Linked DNA regions of Anolis sagrei. The protein of the gene in region 1 interacts with the protein of each later gene in a biochemical or structural test. Links are inferred from orthologs where the notes say so. Each region holds a gene or a part of one and is shown in the gene's direction. Other genes may lie near its edges.

Region 1 (8,034 bases):
AAGGTGTCAGGGAGCTCCAATCCATTAAATCAGGATGTAAATGGGAGCAGGTAGTTGTCTTGTTTGGAACCAAATACAGATATGGAATCAACAGATCTGATGCCTAGGTCAAACCATATAGGGATGGTCTGATTCTTAATACTCAAGCTGCTACTCCAAACTGAGCTAGAAGGATTAGCACGAGTCAAAAACACAATAAAAGCTCCAAATACGCATGCAGAGAAGTATCTTCCCATGATGAAACACTTCCTGTGCTGATGAATGCAGTAGCTGGAGAAACCATTTCTCTGCCAACACCCTCGGAGGACAGGCTGCGGCCTCTTCCTTCCCTTGTGTTCCCCAGTCTGCTTGGTGCATGCAGCTTGTGGTTTGGCTCCCTGATTAAAAAAAACCCCTGTGCAGTTGACAAACCATGGGAAGAAATTGCCTTTTGGGTTTAATTATAAATAAAGGGTGTTGCAGCCATTTTAAAATACAAGGATGCTTCGATCATTCTAGCACATTTAGATAGCCTTGAGGAAACTTGGGCAAGTGTTTGCATCACAACCTATCTTATCCTGAAAATACGGTATAAGTCCAAACATAGCTTGGAGGTACATTCAAGAGTGTGGTTGGAAATACATTCCACACAAAATGGTGGAATCAATATGAAATCTTAACGGGTTTCAATAAAGAACTGAGATTTCCTATGTTCAGGTCTGCACTTATTTACTTACTTACTCTATTTGAATCCCACGTTTCTCTACCCCGAAGGGGAATCAAGGCAACTATTCAATGCCGTTGAACAACAAACAGTTAAAATACATTAAGTTAATGATTTAAAAATTAAAATTAAATTCACATTAAAACATATAAAACATTGCAATCACTATTCAAAAATGGCGCGATCCACATTCGTAATCTGGGACTGTTCCAAAAGTCATTGCACATAATTACATAGCTATTATTGTGCTATAGTTAATCTCTGAAGGCTTGACTCTAGGGCCAGGTTTTCACTTTCCTTCTGAAGGCCAGTACGATAACATACTTCCGTTTGCAAACAACCACACTCTCCATGGATCTGGGGCAGGAGTACTTGGAAACAGGTTAGAGGCAACTCTACTATTAAACAAAATGAAGGGGTAACCTCAAGCAGCAGATTCTGGGAGGTGGCAACAAGGTATTGGTAGAGACAATTGGGTGCCTGCCTTGTTCCCTAAAACTAGCCACCTGTGTGCATGAGAAGATGCTGCTCCATCTCTAGTGGTGAGGAATGACTCAAGGACCAAACCATTTGGGTTTGGTGCATGGAATGAGGGGGACACTATGTCGCCTCCTGCCTCAGGCGGCAAAATGTTTTGCACTGAAGAAGATCTACATTTGCTTGACATAATGTGTGAAATGTCTTGTTCATTGTGTGTCATGATTTCTGACTCTGAAGAAACAATTAATGCATGATCCATGGTTCTTCATGTTGCTTCCTTCTACGACAGAAAGGATTTGGAAACAATATTAGAATTATAGAGTAGACTCATAGAATCTAGTTGGAAGAGATCCCAAGGACCATTTAGTCCAACCTGCTGCTATGCAGGAACACAGAATCAAAGCACTCCTGACAAGTGGCTATCCAGCTTCTGGTTTAAAATCTCCAGAGAAGGAGATTCCACCACACTTTGAGGCAGCAGCCTATTTTACTGCCGGACGGCTCTTAATGTCAGGAAGCTCTTCCTAATGTTTAGGTGAAATCCCTTTTCCTGCAGTTTGAATCCCTTGTTCCTAGTTTCCAGAGCACCAGAAGCAAGCTTGTCCCCTCCTCAATATGACATCCTTTCAAATATTTAAACATATTTATCATATCCCCTCTCAGCCTTCTTTTCTCCAAGTTAAACAAACCCTAAACATACCTTCTTCTTCAAGGTCACCCCAGTACTCTGTGGTTGTAGATATCTTTACAACCTATAAACCAGTGGTTCTCAACCTGTGGGTCCCCAGTTGTTTTGGCCCACAACTCCCAGAAATCCCAGCCAGTTTTCCAGCTGTTAGGATTTCTGGGAGTTGAAGGCCAAAACATCTGGGGACCCACAGGTTGAAAACCACTGCATAAACAAAGCCATTATGGCCACACAGTTATGATTATCTGGGATGTGCACTCAGGGGATGGCCTATGACTTAATTCCCCTGCATGGTTTTGATCTTTCCTGGCAGAGGACACTTTGCTTCAATAAGGCAGAGGAATATGCTCACCTGTTTCAACCCTTTATTTCAAGTTTATAGTGACATTGCTAGAGTTTGTGTCACCTCCATGAATCATACCCCAATACTGCAGTTACAATACCAGAAAATCTGACAATTTCAATGGTTATTTTAAAAACAGCAGCAACAAAGCAATAACACATCCTGGTAACATGTGAAGAGGAAACTGTGCGGTTCATGCTTGTGTGTCATTGTAAGTGGATAGTAATGACAACTTTGACTGGAGTGCATGCACATCACCATTATTATATTTACTTGTGTCCTGCTTTATTTTGGAACCTTAGTGGCATTAGAAGGTTCCAAAAGTAAATTAGCTTTTAAAGCTAAGGCCACTTCATGGTCCCTCAGACTGTTGATTATAGACTGCCAGATCATAGTTTGGAAGAAAAAAAATGAACGAATTCTTATACACACTACAGGTATCTTATTTGTAGAACAATTTTAACCAACATAAGCATACCAGTATTTCAATGGCAAGTGAGGGCCTGCTTTTGGCAGATGGGAGAGTCAAGTTAATTAGGATTGCTGTTGTTGTGTGCCTTCACATTGTTTCAGATATAAGGTGACCCTCAGTCTTCAGTTTAGGATGAGGGTAAATGGGTTGCCTTGGAGGGCTGCATTCAGCCTGCAGGTCTTAGTTTGGGGACCCCTGGCCTAGAGATTCAAGCTTGGAAGCATATTGATACACTACATGTAAACTGGACTTCTTAAAACAGTTTTTTTCTGATTATTATCTACAGGAATATCATTTATTTATTTTAAAATGGATGAAATCTCGCACAAAAATATAACACTATGCAACAAAATTTGAAAATAAATCTGTTCCTGGTTTGAAAGTGTTGTTTCCTGTATAATTGTGTGATACTTACTTTGAGGGTAGTTGTTATACTCCAGAAACGTAGTTTTTGTGGCTGTCACAAACTATGTTGAATTGTCTGGGACTTTATGAGATATTTATTGAAAAACTACAGCAAAATGTGCTGCAGGATGTCTCTCAAAAACAAGGCTTTTGCAACGTGTTGCCGAAGGCTTTCATGGCTGGAATCACTGTGTTGTTGTGAGTTTTCCGGGCTGTAAGGCCATGTTCCAGAAGCATTCTCTCCTGACGTTTAGCCCACATCTGTGGCCGGCTGGCATCCTCAGAGGTTGTGAGGTTTGTTGGAAACTAGGCAAGTGTGGTTTACATATCTGTGAATGTCCATGGTGGGAGAAAGAACTCCTGTCTGTTTGAGGTGTGGAAGTTGCAATTGGCCACCTTGATTAGCATTGAATAGCCTTGTAGCTTCAAAGCTTGGCTGCTTCCTGCCTGGGGGAATAATAGAATCACAGAACCCTGAAACTGGGAGAGACCTCGTTGGCCATCCAGTCCAACCCCCTGCCAAGAAGCTGGAAAATCACATTCAAAGCACTCCTGACTGATGGCCATCCAGCCTCTGTTTAAAAGCTTCCAAAGAAGGAGCCTCCACCACACGCTGGGGCACAGAGTTCCACTGCTGAACAGCTCTTACCATTAGGAAGTTCTTCCTCATGTTCACCTTTGCTGGGAGGTGATTAGCCGGCTTTGGTTGCTTCTTGTCTGGAATTCCCCTGTTTTTGAGTGTTTAATAAACTTTTCCCATGCTTGTTATGATATAACTATTTAGGATATGACATTTATAATCCAAGAACAAAAATCATGTTACACAGCTTGGTAGTTGTTTTGGTGTCACCCGCTTGAGTTGGGATCCCCCTAGTGCAGGGGTCCTCAAACTAAGGCCCGGGGGCCAGAAGCGGCCCTCCAAGGTCATTTACCCGGCCCTCGCTCAGGGTCAACCCAAGTCTGAAACGGCTTGAAAGTACACAACAACAACAATGCTATCTCATCAGCCAAAAGCAGGCCCACACTTCCCATTGAAATACTAATAAGTTTATTTTTGTTAAAATTGTTCTTCATTTTAATTATTGTATTGTTTTTAAGTGGTTTTTTTTTTTGCACTACAAATAAGATATGTGCAGTACCCATAGGAATTCATTCATGTTTTTTTCAAATTATAATCCGGCCCTCCAACAGTTTGAGGGACTTTGACCTGGCCCTCTGTTTAAAAAGTTTGAGGACCCCTGCCCTAGTGACACCATTGCAAGTTGGGTCTATTTGAGTCCCTTAAACCCAACTTGGGGCCCTTCCACACAGCCCTATATCCAGAATATTAGAAAGAACTTCCTGACTGTGAGAGTTGTTCAGCAGTGGAACTCTCTGCCCCGGAGTGTGGTGAAGGCTCCTTCTTTGGAAGCTTTTAAACAGAGGCTGGATGGCCATCTGTCGGGGGTGCTTTGAACGCAATTTTCCTGCTTCTTGGCAGGGGTTGGACTGGATGGCCCATGAGGTCTCTTCCAACTCTATGATTCTAATATCAAGGGAGAAAATCCCACATCATCTGAGTGTGGACTCAGGTAATCCAGTTCAAGGCAGATATTGCGGGATTTTCTGCCTTGATATTCTGGGATATAGGGCTGTGTGGAAGGGCCCTTGGAAGGAAGCATCGACTGTTACAGAAAGAAGTTTTAGTAACTTGGGTGGGAATGGATAGAACTTTTCTCCGTCCTTCTCCAAGCAACCAATCAGGAAGGAGGGGAGGGCTTCTCCGTGTCCACTATTTACATATTCCCTCCTCCCTTTCAAGGTCTCAGCCTCGGAGGGGGCGGGTCCGTAGAGCCTGACTCCTCCCTCTCGCGGAGCCCATTGGTCCAACTAAGGTGCTTGGCTCCGCCCCTTGAATAAAAATCTCCCCGCGGCGCTCGGGAGTGCTCAGAGCGCGAGGGACGAGCCGCGATTGGCGGAGAGGCGGCAACTTCTTGGGCTTGTCTTAGTTTCCGAGCGTGGTCCCGCCCCTCGCGAAGGAGCACCTGCTGCTTCTCTTGGCCGAGTGGCGAAAGAAGGAAGGAAGGAAGGCAGGGAGGAAGATGGACAACGGGGGAGGGAACGAGCTCCTGCCCCGGCTCTGCTGCCCGGAGAAGGGCGCCAACGGCTACGGCTTCCACTTGCACGGCGAAAAGGGCAAAGTGGGCCAGTTCATCCGGCTGGTGGAGCCCGACTCGCCCGCCGAGAAGTCCGGCCTCCGCGCCGGCGACCGCCTGGTGGAGGTGAACGGCGAGAACGTGGAGCAGGAGAGCCACCAGCAAGTGGTCAGCCGCATCCGGGGCTCGCCGGGCTCCGTGCGGCTCCTGGTGGTCGACGCGCCCACCGACGAGCGCCTCCAGAAGCTGGGCCTCCGACCCCGCGAGGAGCTCCTCCGAGGGCTGCCCGGGGAAGACGGCGAGCGGGAGGAGGAGGAGGAGAGCCAGGAGGGGCCGAGGGGCAGCCCAGCGCCCAAGGAGGAGGAGGAGGAGAAGAAGGAGGAAGAGGAGAAGGAGGAGGAGGACAAGAAGGAGGAGGAGGGGAAAGCGGCCGAGGAGGGCGAGGAAGCCAACCACGTCCCCCCGCGGGTGAGTCTCGGGGTCACTCCGGGGGGGGGGGGGAGGGCCAGGGCTGGGCGGGTTCAAGGCCGGAGAAGCCTTTCCGCTCCAAGCCCGGCCAGGATGCCGCCACGCCGGAGAAGGAATGCCTGCCCTCCACTGCCCGGGCTCAAGGCCACGGGGTCCTGGGGTTTGGGGAGGGAGGCAAGCAGGCAGGCCTTGGGAAAGCCAGAGAGAGATGCATCTATACCAAGCACGGGCAAACTTAGGCCCTCCACCTCTTTTGGACTTCAACTCCCACAATTCCAGCTTATTAGGAACTGTGGAAGTTGAAGCCCAAAGCACCCGGAGGACTGAAGTTTTCCTGTGCCTGGTCTACACTGTAAGGTTAATGCATTTGTGACACCACATTCATCGCCTGGCTCAATGCTATGGGATCCTAGGAGATGTAGTTTGGGAAGACACCAGCACTCCATGGAGAAACTCTATATACTCCCTCCAATGGATGATGTCCTTGGGGAAACTATATATACTCCTTCAAATGAATGAAGTCCTTGAGAAAACTTTATATCCCTCAAATGGATGAAGTTCTTGGGAAAACTATATATACTCCCTCCAGTGAATGAAATCCTTGGGAAAACTATATATACTCCCCCCCCCCCCCCCCATGAATGAAGTCCTTGGGGAAACTATATATACTCCCTTGGATGGATGAAGTCCTTCGGAAAACTATATATCCTCTCTCAAATGGATGAAGTCCTTGGGAAAACTATATATACTCCCTTGAATGAATGCTGTCCTTGGGAAAACTGTATATACTCCCTCGAATGAATGAAGTCCTTGGGAAACTATTCCATCGACTGAATGTGCTTTGACACCCAATTTAACTGCCATGGCTCCAATCTATGGAATCCTGGGAGTTGTAGTTTTAGCCCTCTCTGCCCAAGAGTGCTGGTGCCTCAACAAACTGCAACTCTCATGATCATCCTAGTCTTCTTGATACTGTGGCAGAGGAGTCATGGTAGTGGCAATGTGCCACGTGGGGTGGCTGGGCTTTCCTTGAAGAGGGAGTGCAGAGCCCTTCTGATCTGGCTTGCCAGCTTCCTTTGCAACAGGTCCTGTGGTTTTCTCTTGCTGTTGCTTCAGTCCTGCTGCCTGTTTTCTTTGGGTGCTGGGGAATAATAGTCCCTCTCGGGCTCCTCTCTCTCCTGGCTCTCTTTCTCTTTCATTATGAAATGTGACCTCCTTCTTGAAAGCCTGGGCCACTTCCGCTGCCTGTGAGCTGAATGCAAGCCCAGCTGGCAGCGCTGCTTTGTCGCAAGTTGCAAAAGGAAGTCTGGGTGGCTAAGAGAATACTTAGGGCACATCTACACAGCGGAAGGAATGCAGTTTGACACTCCTTTAACTGCTCTGGCTCATTGCTATGGAATCCTGGGAGCTGCAGTTTTCCAAAATCTTCAACCTTTTTTTGCCAAAGAGGGCTGGTGTCTCACCAAAATGCATATTCCAGGATTCCGTGGCAGCTAAAATTGTCACAAATAGGTTGCTATGAGTTTTCTGGGCTGTATGGCTATGTTCCAGAAGCATTCTCTCCTGATGTTTCGCCCACATCTATGACAGGCATCCACAGAGGGATGCCATAGATATGGGCAAAAAATCAGGAGAGAATGATTTTGGAACATGGCAGGCATCCTCAGAGGGATGCCATAGATGTGGGCGAAACATCAGGAGAGAATGCTTTTTGAACATGGCAGGTATCCTCAGAGGGATGCCATAGATGTGGGTGAAACGTCAGGAGAGAATGCTTCTGGAACATGGCCATACAGCCTGGAAAAATCACAGCAACCCAGTGATTCCGGACATGAAAGGCTTCGACAACACAAGGTTACAAATAGCTTTATTTCTGCTGGGCAAGCATTATTTCTACAGGGCAGATATACCTTTAGGAAGAGTTCATAAGCCTGTTGCTTGGTGCCCTGCTCTGTGTCAAAAAGATTGCCACCTGTAGACAGATCAGTGCTTTCTTTAGGAAATTGCAAAAGGCTTTGGGTGGGAGGACGTAAGATTTCCCCTTTTCCTAATATGAAATCACTTGAGTGTCAAGAACATCTCATGGATTGCGTACTTTGCGTGTTATATCAGCTCTCTTTTCTGGGAGACACCTGACTTGGGACACAAGTTTGTCGCTCCTCTTCAGCTGTGCTCTGTAGCTGGAAAGGCTTTCTTGATTGCTATGAGACTCCAGTCATAGTGTAATTATTAACATAATTTAAAACATAGAAAGAAATTAAATCCAGAGCTTTTCAATAGACCAACTTTGGATGGAGTTTTGGTATTGTGCTTTACTTAAAATTCCCCTTCCTTGTGTTC
Region 2 (8,063 bases), on another chromosome or scaffold:
TGCCACCACTCATTAAGTAGATCTTTTGAAAAATCAATTTTGCTATGGTAACCTGGCATTCACGCAGCCTTTGCAAAGGAATTCTTGTGTCATGGAAAAGTCAAGTGCATGTTCTTTGTCTCACTGCAAGACTTGAACTCTCCTGCCCCTGTTTTTCTCTTTCCTGGGGTTATGTGATTTGATTTCATGTGTAATGCTGCCCTAAAGTATAGGAACATTTATACAAGATGCCAATATTTCATTTACTATCTAATAATTAACCAAAACAGATTTAAATTGCCTGTCCTATGGACATTGGACCCTTTTGTCAAGAATGAATCTGAGCTTGTTGTGAATTTTCTGATTGTATAAAGCATGAGACAGCAAAATATCTCTTGGATAATTTAGCATGATTCAAAGCAGTCTGTGTGGGAGGAAGGAAGAAAATATTGTGGATCATATTATTATTAACAGTCGGGGATAGGTGAAGATTTTAATCTTGCGAAGTATCTCCTTAACTTCCACCCTGGTTGATGTGGTCAGCCCTGGAATTAACATTTTGCAATCCACTCCTTCCCAATTAAAATTTATGACTTCTAGAGTTCAGAAAGTTAGCAGAAAAAGGTTAACATATGTGTTAAGATCCTATGTCATTGCTCGCAGAGCATAATTCTGCAGAAATTTATTTATTATTTATTTGTTCATTTATATACCGCTTTCCTCACCCCTGGGGGGACTCAGCTGTTTCCAACATATTCATGACAAAATTCAATGCCTTACAAAACATGAAACCTAACATAAAAACACACAATCCAGAAGCATGGTTCAGGGCGTTCCAGTATCAAATAACAATTGTACATAATCCATGTTCATTTCTTGTCCTGCTTACTGCCCAAATGCTTGGTTCCACAGCCATGTTTTTGCTTTTTTTTCTGAAGTCCAAGAGGGAGGGCGCTAATCTAATTTCGTTGGGGAAGGTATTCCATAGACAAGGGGCCACCACAGAGAAGGTCCTGTCTCTTGTCCCCACCAGTCGCGCCTGCGAAGAAGGTGGAACTGGGAGCATGGTGTCCCAAGAAGATGTTAGCCTCTGAGATGGTTCATAGAGGGAGATATGTCCGGACAGGTATAGTTCGATGTCTGTGCTTTCTCCTAATTTTCATGTCACTTTTAAACTGACATTTATACTATGTTACATTACTACAACAAACCAGCATGGTAGAGTGGCGTGAGCACTGGACTACAACTCAACAGCAGGAATAACATGACTACCATAAAAACCTTAATGCCAGGAAGATGATAAATTTCATCCATGCTTTACCACATCCCTGTCCATATTTTGAGCTTTGGAGAGAAAGAAACAATTGCAAGAATTCTGAAAACCCAGTTTCTCATCCACCTCTCTCCACCTGTTTCTCTTGCTTTCTCTTTTTCTTGCCTATATAATTTCATTTTCTTAAATTCTCCCGATCTTTAGATTGCTTTTCCTCATCTGAATGCCAATTAAAGTAATACATACATACATAGTTTAAGAGCTTCACAATTCAGTTTCCTGGGACTTGTTTTTCTGCAGAGTTCAGTGCTGAATACAGAAGGACCATCTGGATGCAAAAGGTACCACCAGCTACCAAACTATCTCTACTAAAGATTAGACTCCTTACTTTGGGAATTTTGAGCATTCGCACAATTAAAACTTGTGCACTAGCTGTGCTTGTACCTTGGGAGGTCAGATTTGGCCACGGTAGTCCATGCTCTAGTTACATCCCAAGATTACTGCAACGCGCTCTATGCAGGGTTGCCTTTAAATACTGTTCAGAAGCTTACAATGGACAGCAGCCAGGCCGATCACCAGAGTGGCGTACAGGGAGCATCTAACCCTTTTGTTACATCAGCTCCACTGACTTCCAGTCTGCTACCAAGCACAATTCAAAGTGCTGGCTTTAGCCTATAGAGCCCTAAACTATTCCGGCCCAGCTTACCTGTCCGGATGTATCTCCCTCTATGAACCATCATGGGGAGGCCCTGCTTTTGGTCCTGCCTCCATCACAGGCGCGATTGGTGGGAACAAGAGACAGGGCCTTCTCCATGGTGGCCCCTCAGCTGTTGAATTCCCTCTCCAGTGATATTAGAGCAGCTCCCTCCCTCCTGGTCTTCAGAAGGAAAGTGAAAACCTGGCTCTGGGATCAAGCCTTTGGAGATTAACGATATTGAATAATAGCATTGAAATATGTGCAATTGATCTTTGGAACGGCCCTGAATTATGATTGAGGATGGTGTGATTTTAATAGTGAATGCAATGTTTTATATGTTTTAATGTGCATTTAATTTTATTTTTAATTTCAGTTTTAGCTTAAGTGTATTCTGTTTGTTGTCCAAAGGTTGCCATATGTAAAGCCGCCTTGAGTCCCCTTCGGGGTAGAGAAAGGCATGATACAAATAGAGTAAATAAATAATAAATAAATTTCCTCCACTGAGTTCAAGGTGGCACATGTGGCTGTTGTTTACATTTTATTGTCACAATATTCCAGAGAGCCAATTAAACTGAGAAATAGTGAGTCCCTGATTGAGTTTCATAGCTACATAGGGATTTGTATCTAAATATGCCAGTCCAATATAACATTTTTTTTTACATCAGATAAATACATTTCAAAATCAAATTTGTACACTAGCTTTTCAATTCATATCTGTCTGCTAGGTTTTAACAAATAAAATCTGCCAAAATTCCTCATTGTAGTTCAGGGTACCTGAAATGAAACATATCTCAACATGTTCATTCATCAGTGAATATTTACCTTAGCTTGGCAAAACTTGAAACATTCTTCAGTTTGTAGAACTGGATTTTTGTGATGCATTACATTTGAATATATTTATTATAAAAAGTGATTTGTAAAGTAGTGGAAATCATTTCCTGGAATTACTTTCTTTTTTCTGGACTTTTTTTGAGGTTCACTTGGATTTTAAACATTCACAGGAATGTTTGACATGAGAGATATGGATCATTTACTAATATTAGAAATAAAGTAGAGGGAATCAACCACTTCAAAAGCCTTTTTAAATCATCCCACTGGAACTACTCTTTAGTAAATGGCTTGGTTTTGCGACCTATATCTTGCAATTAACAAACCCTAATGGGATAAAAAAAACAAACACCACACGCTTGTTTTGCAGAACCCCAAATAAACTAGGGTTTGGAAAATAAACCAATTTTAATTATTTCTGAATTTGTACTGAAATTCCCCCAGTCAATCACTTTAGTTAAAAAACGGAGTCCCCGGTGGCTCAATGGGTTAAACCCTCCCTTGTACTGGCAGGGCTGCTGACTGAAAAGTTGGTGGTTTGAATCCGGGGAGCGTCTGTCAGAGAGAAGCCACCCACAAGATGGTAAAACATCTGGGCGTCCCCTGGGCAACGTCCTTGCAGACGGCAAATTCTGTCACATCAGAAGCAACTTGCAATTTCTCAAGTCGCTCCTGACATGAAAAAAAAGATTAAAAACAATTAATTTGCCCCTTTTGGTTAGTACATTTCCAACGTAATTAATAATTCAATTGATTTATGTATTTTTTACATCATCCAGTATAGAACCAGCCTGTGAAACTGGATATTGTGACATTAAGGTACTTGTTGATGCTTGTTTGGCTGTGCTATGAACATACAGCAACCAAGTAGCAACAGTAAGAACAGACCATGTAACAACAGACTGGTTCAAGATGGGGAAAGGAGAATGGCAGGGCTGAGCTGTATACGTTCACCCTACCTATTTAACTTGTATGCAGAACAACCTTAGATATGCTGATGATACTGCTTTGATGGCTGAAAGTGAGGAGGAGCCAAGGAGTCTTCTAACCAAGGTGAAGGGAAAAAGTGCAAAAGCTGGGTTACAGTTAAACATAAAAAAACCCAAGATTATGGCAACCATACTGATTGATATCTGGCAAAAGAGGGAGAAAACGTGGAGACAGTGACAGACTTTGTATTTCTGGGCACAAAGATTACTGCAGATGCAGACTTCAGCCAGGAAATCAGAAAATGTTTACTTCTTGGGAGGAGAGCAATGACCAATCTCAATAAAATAAGAGTAGAGACATCACACTGCCAATGAAGATCTGCATAGTTAAAGCTATGGTATTCCTCATAGTAACCTACGGATGTGAGAGCTGGACCATATGGAAGGGTGAGCGAAGGAAGATAGACGCTTTTGAACTGAGGTGCTAGAGGAAAATTCTGAGAGTCCCTTGGACTGTGAGAAGATCAAACCAGTCCATCCTCCAAGTAATAAAGCCCCACTGCTCACTGGAGGGAAGAATATTAGAGGCAAAGATGAAGTACTTTGGCCACATCATGAGAAGGCAGAAAAGCTTGGGGAAGATAATAATGCTGGGGGAAATGGAAGGAAAAAGGAAGAGGGGCCGACCAAGGGCAAGATGGATGGATGGTATCCTTGAAGTGACTGACTTGATCTTGAAGGAGCTGGGGGTGGTGATGGCTGACAGGGAGCTCTGGTGTGGGCTGGTCCATGAGGTCACGAAAAGTCAGAAGTGACTGAACAAATAAACAACAAAACAATGAACATACAGAGACAAACTGCCTGGCTGGGATAACTGGATTTCGCCCCATCTGTAACTGAGCAGTGTCATTTCAGAATCCCTTTGGAACAAAAAATGAACAGGTAGTAAACTTCCATACCTAAGTTGGGTCTGTCCTAGATAACACTGAAGATGAGACCGGTATGTGAAATTATCCGATGTGGAAAACAAGCAGTGTTTATCATCTTGATAAGTATAAGAGCAGTTTTCTCTTATATCACCTCTGGAAAAGTGGAATTATTTATCTGCTAGACTGAGGTCAGTTACATCTTGAGACTTTTAAAATCCAAGACGACATAATGCTCTGCACTGAGTCCATTTCATTTTATATCTTCTAAAATCCTGCTCCAGACTACTATATTCAAGTTTCACAAATCTGATTCATGAGGCTAAACATGCATCTGGAGTTAACGATTAATGTCCTGTCACTGTGTGATTGTTCCAAAGGCCCCTCTGTTGAGCATGTGGGACTTTTGCCCTGTTCAGCTTCCTGGGATTGATAAATCAGTTGGACAAGGACAAGAGAAGAGAGAGCCTCGCCATGGCGATGACAGCCTTGGGGGAGTTCTGTGGCTCTGTTTTCTGGGTAAGTAGCAGCCTCTTCTACCCAAATCTGTTACTCAGGGTCCTTCCGCACAGCCATATAACCCAGAATATCAAGGCAGAAAATCCCACAATATCTGCTCTGAACCGATCAACCTAGCAGTTCGAAAACATGCAAATGTGAGTAGATCAATAGGTACCGCTCTGGCAGGAAGGTAACAGCGCTCCTCACAGTCATGCCGGCCACATGACCTTGGAGGTGTCTACGGACAACACCGGATCTTCGGCTTAGAAATGGAGATGAGCAGCAACCCCCAGAGTCAGACACGATTGGACGTAATGTCAGGGGGAAATCTTTACCTTTTATCTGAGTCCACACTGCCATATATTCCAATTCAAAGCAGATAATATGGGATTTTATTCAGCTGTGTGGAAGGGGCTTCCGTTTCCAACAGAGCTAATTATGACGACGGCGACACTGTGACACTCCAAGAGGTTGCAGACATCTGTCTTGAACGATGGGAGTATGCCGTACAGCCAGTGTTGTGGCTGTTTGATGAGGATTTGGGACAGCTGTGTATATGTGTCATTGCCTTGAACACACACAGCAAATTCAGTGTGATTGTGGTTGTAAGATTAATAAGCTATCCTCATTGAATGCTGTTGTTTCAAAGATATACTAAGCTTTGGGAATGCTATACCTCTCATTATACTACCTATTATGAATAATCTCAGAGTTCTTTTCTCCTTGGAAAGCTCCCCCTTGGTTCTCATTAATATCTTTTCCGCTGCTTTATTGGATAGGGGAGCTTCAGAACATGCGTGGAGAACATGCAACTAGTAACTTTTTCAAAAACAGAAAGAGAAGACATGGTTCCACCTAGAATGAGCTACATGATATATCAGAATTCCATATTTACTTGAACAGTAGTGTGTTTTTTTTTTTCATTTTCATGAGTGCTGGGAGACTGAAGGATCAATATGAAAGTGGGGTAACTGTGATCAAAAAAACACATTCTTTTTATCTGAGGGCTTTCCTACACTGCCGTAAAATCCAGACTATCAATGCATTTTTATTGTGTCAGAAGCAACCAAATAATATATTGCAAGTCGCTTCTGGTGTGAGAGAATTGGCTGTCTGCATGGATGTTGCCCAGGAGATGCCCGGATGTGTTATCATCCTCTCCCATGTCCCCGCATGGGAAGCTGGGGCTGACAGATGGGAGCTCACCCTATCTCACAGATTCGAACTGCCGACCTTCAAGTCTTCAGGTCAGCACTTCAGCCGGCACAAAGGTTTAACTCATTGTGCCACTGCAGCTCCTATCAAGGCAGATAATCCACATTATCTGCTTTGAATTGGATTATCTGAGTCTACAGTGCCATAAAATCCAGTTCAAAGCAGATAATCTAGATTTTATACAGCTGTGTAGAAGGGGCCTGAGAGAATACTTATAGGAATTTTAGGTCATCTAGTATGATTCTGTGGTCAACCTCCTGAAATCATGCTAAAAACCCCAGAGATTCCTAGCAAGATGATGGTCCCTTCCACACAGCTGGATAAAATCCCACATTATCTGCTTTGAACTGGAATATATGGCAGTGTGGACTCAGACAACCCAGTTCAAAGCAGATATTGTGGGATTTTCTGCCTCGATATTCTGGGTGGTATTTCTGCCTGTGTAGAAGGGTCCCATATCAATTATATCTGTGATTAATTAAATCCTCTAAAGTTAAATGCACAAATGTGGTGGGCAGATTAGAACACACTGCTTCTGTATCCCAGGATCTGATCCCAGGTTATCATCTTATCCCAGATTATCTGGCAGTGGAGACTCATAGAATCCAGTTAAAAGCAAATAATCTGGGATGGGATCCTGGGAATATAGGGTTGTGTAGAAGGGGCCTTAGATTATTATTAGGATCCAATCAAGAAAAAACAACAACCCAGAAAGCGGAGAATGTGTAGTTAATGGGTAGAATAGTCCTTAGTCATGATGAGTCACACATGACCTCATCACACATGACCTCATCACAGTCGGAATAATGGTGACCAGTTAAAAGTGTTATGTATTTGGATGCATGTGGCCTTGTACAAAGGGTCAGTAAAATCGCATCTGCAATTGGATGATAACTAAGCTAGAACAAACAAACTGTTGTAAGACCTCTCTAATTCACTGAGGGCAAAAGAACAAGAAAGTTATTAGCTGATAACAGAAGACCAGAAAACAACTAAACCTAAAACAAATAATATATTATTAGGTTACTATATAAAATAATCCTGAGCAGGTAAGACCGCATGCAATCTATGGTTCCTTCTACACTGCCATGTAATCCAGATTATCAAAGCAGATAATCCACATTACCTTCTTTGAATCGGATGATATGAATTTATACTGTTCAAAGCAGATAACCTGGATTTTATACAGCTGCATAGAAGAGGCCTGCAACTGTGGATCATGTTTCCAAAAGGTACCAAATCCATCTGAACAAATGTTACAGGAATAAAAAAAAACCATGGTGAGGTCATGCAGTCTTTTGCTATATAATGCAATTTTCGAGTCCTTATACCCAAGTGATTTGACACATTTTTATAGTTTTGATCTATACATAATATTCTATTCATAGCCAACAACATGCTGCCACCTATGCCTCATTTTTCAATTTTTTGGATTTGGTACCTTTTGGAAACGAACTCCACAACTGACTGCTTCTTGGTAAACAGATACATGTCCTATAGATAGATAGAGATATATAGATATAACAGGCAACTCTGTTTTGTGATTCCATTGGAAAAGTATGGCAAGTCAATACCATGTCGTGGTTTGAGCATTGGACTACTTCTCTGTAGATCAGGTTTCCAATTCCCACTCAGCCATGAAAACCCACTCGGTGATTTTGGGCAAGTTGCTCTCTCTCAGCCTCAGAAGAAGATAAAAATCAAATCCCCTCTGA
Region 3 (7,880 bases), on another chromosome or scaffold:
TTTGTTATAGGCCCAATGAGGACCAGAGGAATGAGGCCAAGCTGTAATAATAATAATAATAACAATAATAATATATTAATAGATATTATTATTACTATTACAGCCTGGGCTCATTGCTTTGGTCCTCATTGGGCCTATGATAACAACAAAAGTTTTATATTATTAAGGATTATTATTAGTTTTATTAGTATTCTTATCGATATATTATTACATTGGGCCTATGATAACAAAAACACTTTTACATTATTAAGGATTATTATTAGTATTATTACTATTATATATGTGTGTGTCTGTGTATATATATATCAGTATTACACAAACAGAGACATATATATCAGCATTATTACTCTTATAATTACTAATATAATGTATATATGTATATATTGGTATTACTGTTCTTGAGATGAAAAGCCATCTGTGTTTTAGATGGATTAGGGATCAGCTGGTTTTCCCTGTAGTAGGCAGTAAGAGCACCTAGAGTTTCGGAGAACAGACAAGCATCCTGAGCTCTGAGGATCACCTGGGAAGGAATCCCACTGGAGCATTGCAATGCACTCAAATACCTGGGAGCCACTCTGAACCGTGCTCTGACCTACAAGGAGCACTGCCTGAACATCAAGGAAAAAGTGGGTGCTAGAAACAATATCATACGAATGCTGACTGGCACAACCTGGGGATCACAACCAGACACAGTGAAGACATCCGCCCTTGCGCTATGCTACTCTGCTGCTGAGTATGCATGCCCAGTATGGAACACATCTCACCACACTAAAACAGTGGATGTGGCTCTTAATGAGACATGCCGCATTATCACGGGGTGTCTGCGCCCTACACCACTGGAGAAATTACACTGCTTAGCCAGTATTGCACCACCCGACATCCGTCGGGAAGTAGTAGCCAATAGTGAAAGGACCAAGGCAGTGACATCTCCAGCTCATCCCTTGTTTGGGCATCAGCCAGCACGCCAATGACTTAAATCAAGAAATAGTTTTCTAAGATCTACAGAGACACTCGCTGAAACACCTCAGCAAGTGAGAGTCCAAAAGTGGCAGGCTCAAACCCAGAGCCTCAATTAAGGGCTGATACCCAATGAGAGACTCCCCCCTGGGCACACAGAAAACTGGGCGACTTGGAAGACGCCGAACAGACTGCGCTCTGGCACCGCAAGATGCAGAGCCAACCTTCAGAAATGGGGCTACGAAGTGGAATCCACAACATGCGAGTGTGGAGAAGAGCAAACCACTGACCATCTGCTGCAATGCAACCTGAGCCCTGCTACATGCACAATGGAGGACCTTCTTGCGGCAACACCAGAGGCACTGGTCAAAGGACATTTAATCAACTACCAAGTTTGCAAACTCTGTGTCTTTTGTATGTTTGTTTGTTTGTTCTGTCAAAAATGTAATACAACTGACACGATAAAAAAAATATTACTATTACATATGTTTATCAGTATTACTATTATTATTACTATTATATATGCGTATGCGTGTATCAGTATTATTACTATTATATACTATACATATGTGTGTATATATTTCAGTATTATTACTATTATATATATATACTATTACATATTAATATTATTAAGAATATTATTAAATACTAATATTACTAAAACTAATAATAAGTAATATAAAAGTATTGTTGTTATTATTATTATTATACTAATATCCCACTTTGGATAGGCGCCATATCCACAGATTCTGTAATATTCCCAGAATTGGAAATATTCTGAATAAAACAATAACAATGTAAAAAATAATATAACCATAATGGAAATCTATACTATAATAATATTATATTATAAAGTAATAATAAAAGCTAGGAATAATATAAACATAACATAAAATCAAGTAGAAATGCACCCCCATTGGCCTTGGGTGAAACCTTTGGCCTGAAGCGGGCCATTCATTAACTTTGATACAGAGAAAGGAAACATTCAAAGTATTGCAATATATATAAAATATATTTCTAAATATATTAGATATATTCCTAAATATATTAAAAGTAATGCTATATATAGCAATAATTTAGGAATATTAAATACATTCCTAAATATGTTCTTAAGTATATCACTTATATTCCTAATTATATTAAAAGTATTGCTATATATATTAAATGTATTCCTCAATATATTAGATATATTCCTCTATATATATAGAGAGAGAGAGAGAGAGACTGTATATATATATATATATATATATATATATATATATATATATATATATTCCTAAATGCATTCCTATAAAAAGGTAAAGGTAGTCCCCTGACATTAAGTCCAGTCATGTCTGACTCTGGGGTGTGGTGCTCATCTCCATTTCTAAGCCGAAGAGCCAGCGTTGTCCGTAGACACCTCCAAGGTCATGTGGCTGGCATGACTGCATGGAGCGCCGTTACCTTCCCACCGGAGCGGTACCTATTGATCTACTCACATTTGCATGTTTTCGAACTGCTAGGTTGGCAGAAGCTAGGGCTGACAGCGGAAGCTCACGCCACTCCCCAGAATTGAACCTGCAACCTTTCAATCAACAAGCTCAGCAGCTCAGTGCTTTAACCCACTGCGCCACCGGGGGCTCCATTTCTATATATAATACATATTCCTAAATACATTCCTAAATGGGTCCCCTGATGGCACACCAGGTTAAACCGCTAAGCTGCTGAACTTGTTGAGTGAAAGGTTGGTGGTTCGAATCTGAGGAGTGGGGTGAGCTCCTGCTGTTAGGCCCAGCTTCCGCCAATCTAGCAGTTTGAAAATATGCAAATATGAGTAGTTCAATAGGTACAGCTTCTGCAGGAAGGTAATGGCACTCCATGCAGTCATGCCACCCACATAACCTTGGAGATGTCTATGGATAGCGCCGGCTCTTCGGCTTAGAAATGGAAATGATCACAACCTCCCAGAGTTGGACACGATTAGACTTAATGTCAGGGGAAACCTTTACTTTATATTCCTAAATATATTAGATACTAAATACCTTGAAAGTATTGCTGTATTATATATATATTCCTAAATATATTAGAAATATCCCTAAATATATAATATATATTTATACAATATATATTATATATTAAAAGTATTGCTATATATATATTAAATTTATTCCTAAACATATTCCTCAATATATTACATTCCTAGATACATTAAAAGTATTGATATATGTATATATGTGTGTGTGTGTGTATAATCTATTCCTAAATACCTTAAATATATTAAATCTATTCCTATATATATTACATATATTTATATTATATAATATATATTAAAAGTATTGCTACATATATTACACCTGTTTCTAAATCTATTCCTAAATTTGTTGTTGTTCATTCGTTCAGTCGTCTCCGACTCTTCTTGACCTCATGGACCATCCCACGCCAGAGCTTCCTGTCGGCCGTCACCACCCCCAGCTCCTTCAAGGTCAGCCCAGTCACTTCAAGGATGCCATCCATCCATCTTGCCCTTGGTCGGCCCCTCTTCCTTTTGCCTTCCACTTTCCCTAGCATCATTCCCTTCTCTAGGCTTTGCTGTCTCCTCATGATGTGGCCAAAGTACTTCAACTTTGCCTCTAGTATCCTTCCCTCCAATGAGCAGTCGGGCTTTATTTCCTGGAGGATGGACTGGTTGGATCTTCTTGCAGTCCAAGGCACTCTCAGGACTTTCCTCCAGCACCACAGTTCAAAAGCATCTATCTTCCTTCGTTCAGCCTTCCCTAAGGTCCAGCTCTCACATCCGTAGGTTACTACAGGGAATACCATGGCTTGGACTAGGCGGATCTTTGTTTCCAGTCTGATGTCTCTACTCTTTACTATTTTATCGAGACTGGACATTGCTCTCCTCCCAAGAAGTAAGCGTCTTCTGATTTCCTGGCCACAGTCTGCATCTGCAGTAATCTTTGCGCCTAGAAATACAAAGTCTATCACAGCCTCCACATTTTCTCCCTCTATTTTCCAGTTGTCAATCATTCTTGTTGCCATAATCTTGGTTTTTTTGACGTTTAGCTGCAACCCAGCTTTTGCGCTTTCTTCTTTCACCTTGATTAGAAGGCTCCTCAGCTCCTCCTCGCTTTCGGCCATCAGAGTGGTGTCATCTGCATATCTGAGGTTGTTAATGTTTCCTAAATACATCAGATATATTCCCCAATATAGTCAAACTATTTGAATATAATTTAAATCTATTCCTAATACTATTGCCCAATATATTAAATCTATTCCTAAACATATTAAGAGTATTGCTGCATGTATGTAACATATGTGTATATAACATATATTCCTACCGGAAGCCCAGGCTAGAAAAGGAAAAGGCCGCTCTGCCCCGAAGAGCCTCCAAAACCAGCTTCCGCGTAGCAGCCATTTTTTCCCTCTCCGAACCAGGAGGCGAAGGAGGGCACGCCCCTTTATTTAGGGGCGTGGCTTGGTCTCAAGAGGGGCGGGGCCGCGAGGCCTTGCTTTAGCAACAAACGTCATTCGGCCTTTCTTCCTCGAGGGGGCGCTCTTTCCCAGCCAGCCAATTACAATGGCCTTTATGGAGAGGGCGGGTCTTTGGGGGCCAAATGGCAGGCGAACGCACCAATCGGAACACTCATTACCCTTTCCCTTTAAGACAGACATCTAACACTTCGGGTTTCGTTTGAAAAGCCGAGGGGGAAAGAGTTGCTTTCCATTTTCCCGCCTCGCAAATGGCGCCTCGTTTTTCTATCGGCACCCGGAAGTATAACACATAAGCCATCTCGTAGGCACCTCTATGTCTCCTTAAAATAGGATTCCAAAAGAAAAGAATTGCCCGCTCCGCCTCTTCGGGGGCGTGGCCTATTTTCCCTCCACAACCAATAGCAAACGACGAGGAGAGGCAACCACTAGGCAGCGTTGGGCCTCAACCCCGCCTCCTGAGGGGGCGTGGCCAATGCCAACCAATCGGGAGCGGGAGAGACGAGGAGTGGCAGCTCCGGCTCCGGCGGCGGAGGTGAGGGCCGATTTCTTTTCCTTCGGGGGGGCTGTTCCCCCTTCCCTCCCCCCGCGCTTTCAGGGGGCTGTTCCGTATACCCCCCCGCACCCCTGATTTCCCCCCTTTCCTTCCGTTTTTACCCCAAAACATGAGGGAAACGGCTTTCGTAGGCCTCCCTTCCCCCTCATCTCCTCTTAAGATTGGAAAAAAGCCGTTTATGCCCCATAAGTGGCCTTTTTTGAATCAATCAATAGATAATCGATATTTATTATATCCTCGAAGGAAAAGAAACTCTTCCCTCCCCCCATTTTCCCTATAAAGCTTTCTTTGTTAATAAACCAAGCCAGAGTTTGGCTCCTCCCTCTTCCAATCCTCCCTAAAACTATTCCAATCGATCCACTGATTGATCCCTTGTCCTAACTCTTCAATACGAATCATAGGACAAGGGTCTCCCAATACAAAACACTTTTTCAGTCAGTTGATGAATCAGTCAATGGATGGACTGATCAATTGATTGATTGATGGATTGATCAATTAATCAGTTAATGGACGGATTGATCAATGATCCCATTCATTTCCCTCATAGGACAAGAAAGACACTTCTTTACCCCAAGTCTCCCAAAAAAATCCCAATAAGTATCTCTTTCAATCAATTAATCAATCAATCGATTAATTGATCCATTGTCCCACCCATCCCTGGAGAACCATTGAACACAGGGGCGGCTCAACCCATTACGCAAAGTAAGCATTTGCAGTATAGTTGATTTTCCCAGGGGCGCTCTTGGGGGAAAATAGACCTTGACATATGCAAGTTGTAGTTACTGGGATGTATAGTTCACCTACAATCAAAGAGCATTCTGCACTCCACCAATGATGGAATTGAACCAAATATGGCACACAGAACTCCCACGACAAACAGAAAATATATATCAGTGATTGGCTGGGGTGCCACAATACTGTTTGCTTACCATTGAAAATTACCTAGGGCCGCCTCTGATTGAACAAGAAATTAAAACCTTTGTCACGATAATAACTCGTCTTTCAATCAGTCACTCCAATATAAACCAATGCTTCTAAACCAACTGACTGATCGATCGATCAGGAATCCCATCCATCCGTTCAGAGCCATAAAGACTATAGAAAGCTTTCTCAACCTCAATAATAACCTCTCTTTCTATCAATCAGTCCAACATAGCCTCTCGTTTCACCAAGGCCCCTGCATCGATCGATTGTCTTATCCCTTTGTTAAGAATTATAGGACAATAGAAACCCTCCCAATCAAAACCATCTTATCAATCAAACCATCCAATGTAGCCCCTTCCTCTACTAATATTTCCCCAAACTCTTAATTGATTGATCGATCGATTAATAATGAATTGATCAATCATTGTATCTAGCTGTTAAGAACCAATATAGCACCTTGCTCTCCCCCTCCCCCAAATCCTCTAAATCACTCAGACAACTCGGCAGTCAGTCAATCTGCCTATAAATCGATTGGTCAGATCAATTGATTAATTGATCAATTGTCCCCTCCATTCTTTAAGAACCATCAGAGAATAGAAACACTCCTTTCCTCCAATTCTTCCATTTAAATCATTCAACCCGCCAATCAATCAGTCTCTGAATTGATTAATTGATATATTGATCAATCAATCAATGTATTGATTGATCAGTTCAGAGACTGATTGATCAACTGAGCGATCATCCCAAGCATCCTTTAAAAACCATAGGACACTATTCTTCTTTCTCCAATAGCACCTCACTTCAAATCATTCAACCGGCCAATTAATCATCCAATCAATCATAGATCCATTTGTAGATTGATGGATGAATCAATCAATCTATACATCGATCAGTCGATTGTTCAAGTAATCCCATCTGTTCATTAAAAAGCATAGGTTAATAGAACCCCCCCCCCCATAAAAACCTCTCTTTGAATTAATATATCCAGCGTAGCCCCTCCTTCCGCCAATATTCCGAAATCATTCAGTCAATTGATCAACAACTGAGCAATTATTAGTCTAATCCATCTACTCAGAATATAATGCCTTTTCCCCCAAAACCTACAGATCGAAACATCTCTTTAAGCCAGTCAACCAGTCAATCAATCAATCAACTTCTACACTGATCATTTTGTCCGTCTTTTGAGATGTCCAGGGCCGGATAAAGCCTTCTTTGCCTCAACCCTCTGCCCATTCCAATGGATCTTTTGGGGGGCCCTTTGGCTGCCCCCCCTTGGCGCACTTGACTTTCCGGTGGGGCCAACTAGATCTCCCAGAGGCCCTGAAGATGGCCGGCGCCATCGCCTCCCGGATGAGCTTCAGCTCCTTGAAGAGAAAGCAGCCCAAGACCTTCACCGTCCGCATCGTCACCATGGAGGCCGAGATGGAGTTCAACTGCGAGGTGAGCCGGGATTTGTAGTGTGGCCTTGGGCCAGGATTGGGTTCTGTACAGGAAAGGGCCCAAGGACACTGTTGCATGGGTGCCCTTGGACATCATCTGAACGGCTGTGACTCAGTGCTGCAGGATCCTGGGAGTAGCCCTTTGTTTTTGGGATGTATAGTGCAGCCATATATAATTTCTGTACAGGAAATGGCTGGAATAACGACGAGGGTTCTTGTGCGAGAAATCTCCAGGATGGCCTAAGCCTAATGGCATTATGGGATTTGTCGTTGGGCAAGGCTGCAAAAAATTATTATTTATTTATTTGCTACATTTGTATACCACCTCTCTCAGCCTGCAGGTGACTCTAGGTCTTGGGAAACTACAACTCCCAGGGCCTTGTAGCATTACAGTGGCACTCAACTGTATTCTAGCAGTGTCAATGGCACCCTTGGACTACGGTAGTGATAGTATTCCAAGGGGCTTTGAGGCCAGAAAAGCCTCCAAAAACCAGACAGTCTCCATGTTACAAACACCTGACTAGTTAAGAACAGGG

Evidence for each region. The genes of interacting proteins can lie anywhere in the genome.
Region 2: the proteins of NHERF1 (region 1) and ABCC2 form a complex in vitro, tested with the Homo sapiens proteins (2 studies listed by BioGRID). The link is inferred for Anolis sagrei from reciprocal best matches to the Homo sapiens genes NHERF1 and ABCC2.
Region 3: the proteins of NHERF1 (region 1) and NF2 form a complex in vitro, tested with the Homo sapiens proteins (2 studies listed by BioGRID). The link is inferred for Anolis sagrei from reciprocal best matches to the Homo sapiens genes NHERF1 and NF2.

The regions. Positions count from the first base shown.
Region 1 is NC_090022.1:116,222,037-116,230,070, forward strand, and holds the start of NHERF1 (Na(+)/H(+) exchange regulatory cofactor NHE-RF1), read left to right. Parts: upstream 1-5,006; 5' UTR 5,007-5,172; coding exon 5,173-5,694; intron 5,695-8,034. UniProt on the Homo sapiens protein: Scaffold protein that connects plasma membrane proteins with members of the ezrin/moesin/radixin family and thereby helps to link them to the actin cytoskeleton and to regulate their surface expression. Necessary for recycling of internalized ADRB2.
Region 2 is NC_090023.1:218,845,575-218,853,637, forward strand, and holds the start of ABCC2 (ATP-binding cassette sub-family C member 2), read left to right. Parts: upstream 1-5,053; 5' UTR 5,054-5,106; coding exon 5,107-5,151; intron 5,152-8,063. UniProt on the Homo sapiens protein: ATP-dependent transporter of the ATP-binding cassette (ABC) family that binds and hydrolyzes ATP to enable active transport of various substrates including many drugs, toxicants and endogenous compound across cell membranes.
Region 3 is NC_090034.1:48,741,661-48,749,540, forward strand, and holds the start of NF2 (merlin), read left to right. Parts: upstream 1-4,870; 5' UTR 4,871-4,900; coding exon 4,901-4,960; intron 4,961-7,091; exon of another isoform or gene 7,092-7,099; coding exon 7,100-7,345; intron 7,346-7,880. Other genes in the region: NIPSNAP1 (protein NipSnap homolog 1), read right to left, coding at 4,275-4,351. UniProt on the Homo sapiens protein: Probable regulator of the Hippo/SWH (Sav/Wts/Hpo) signaling pathway, a signaling pathway that plays a pivotal role in tumor suppression by restricting proliferation and promoting apoptosis.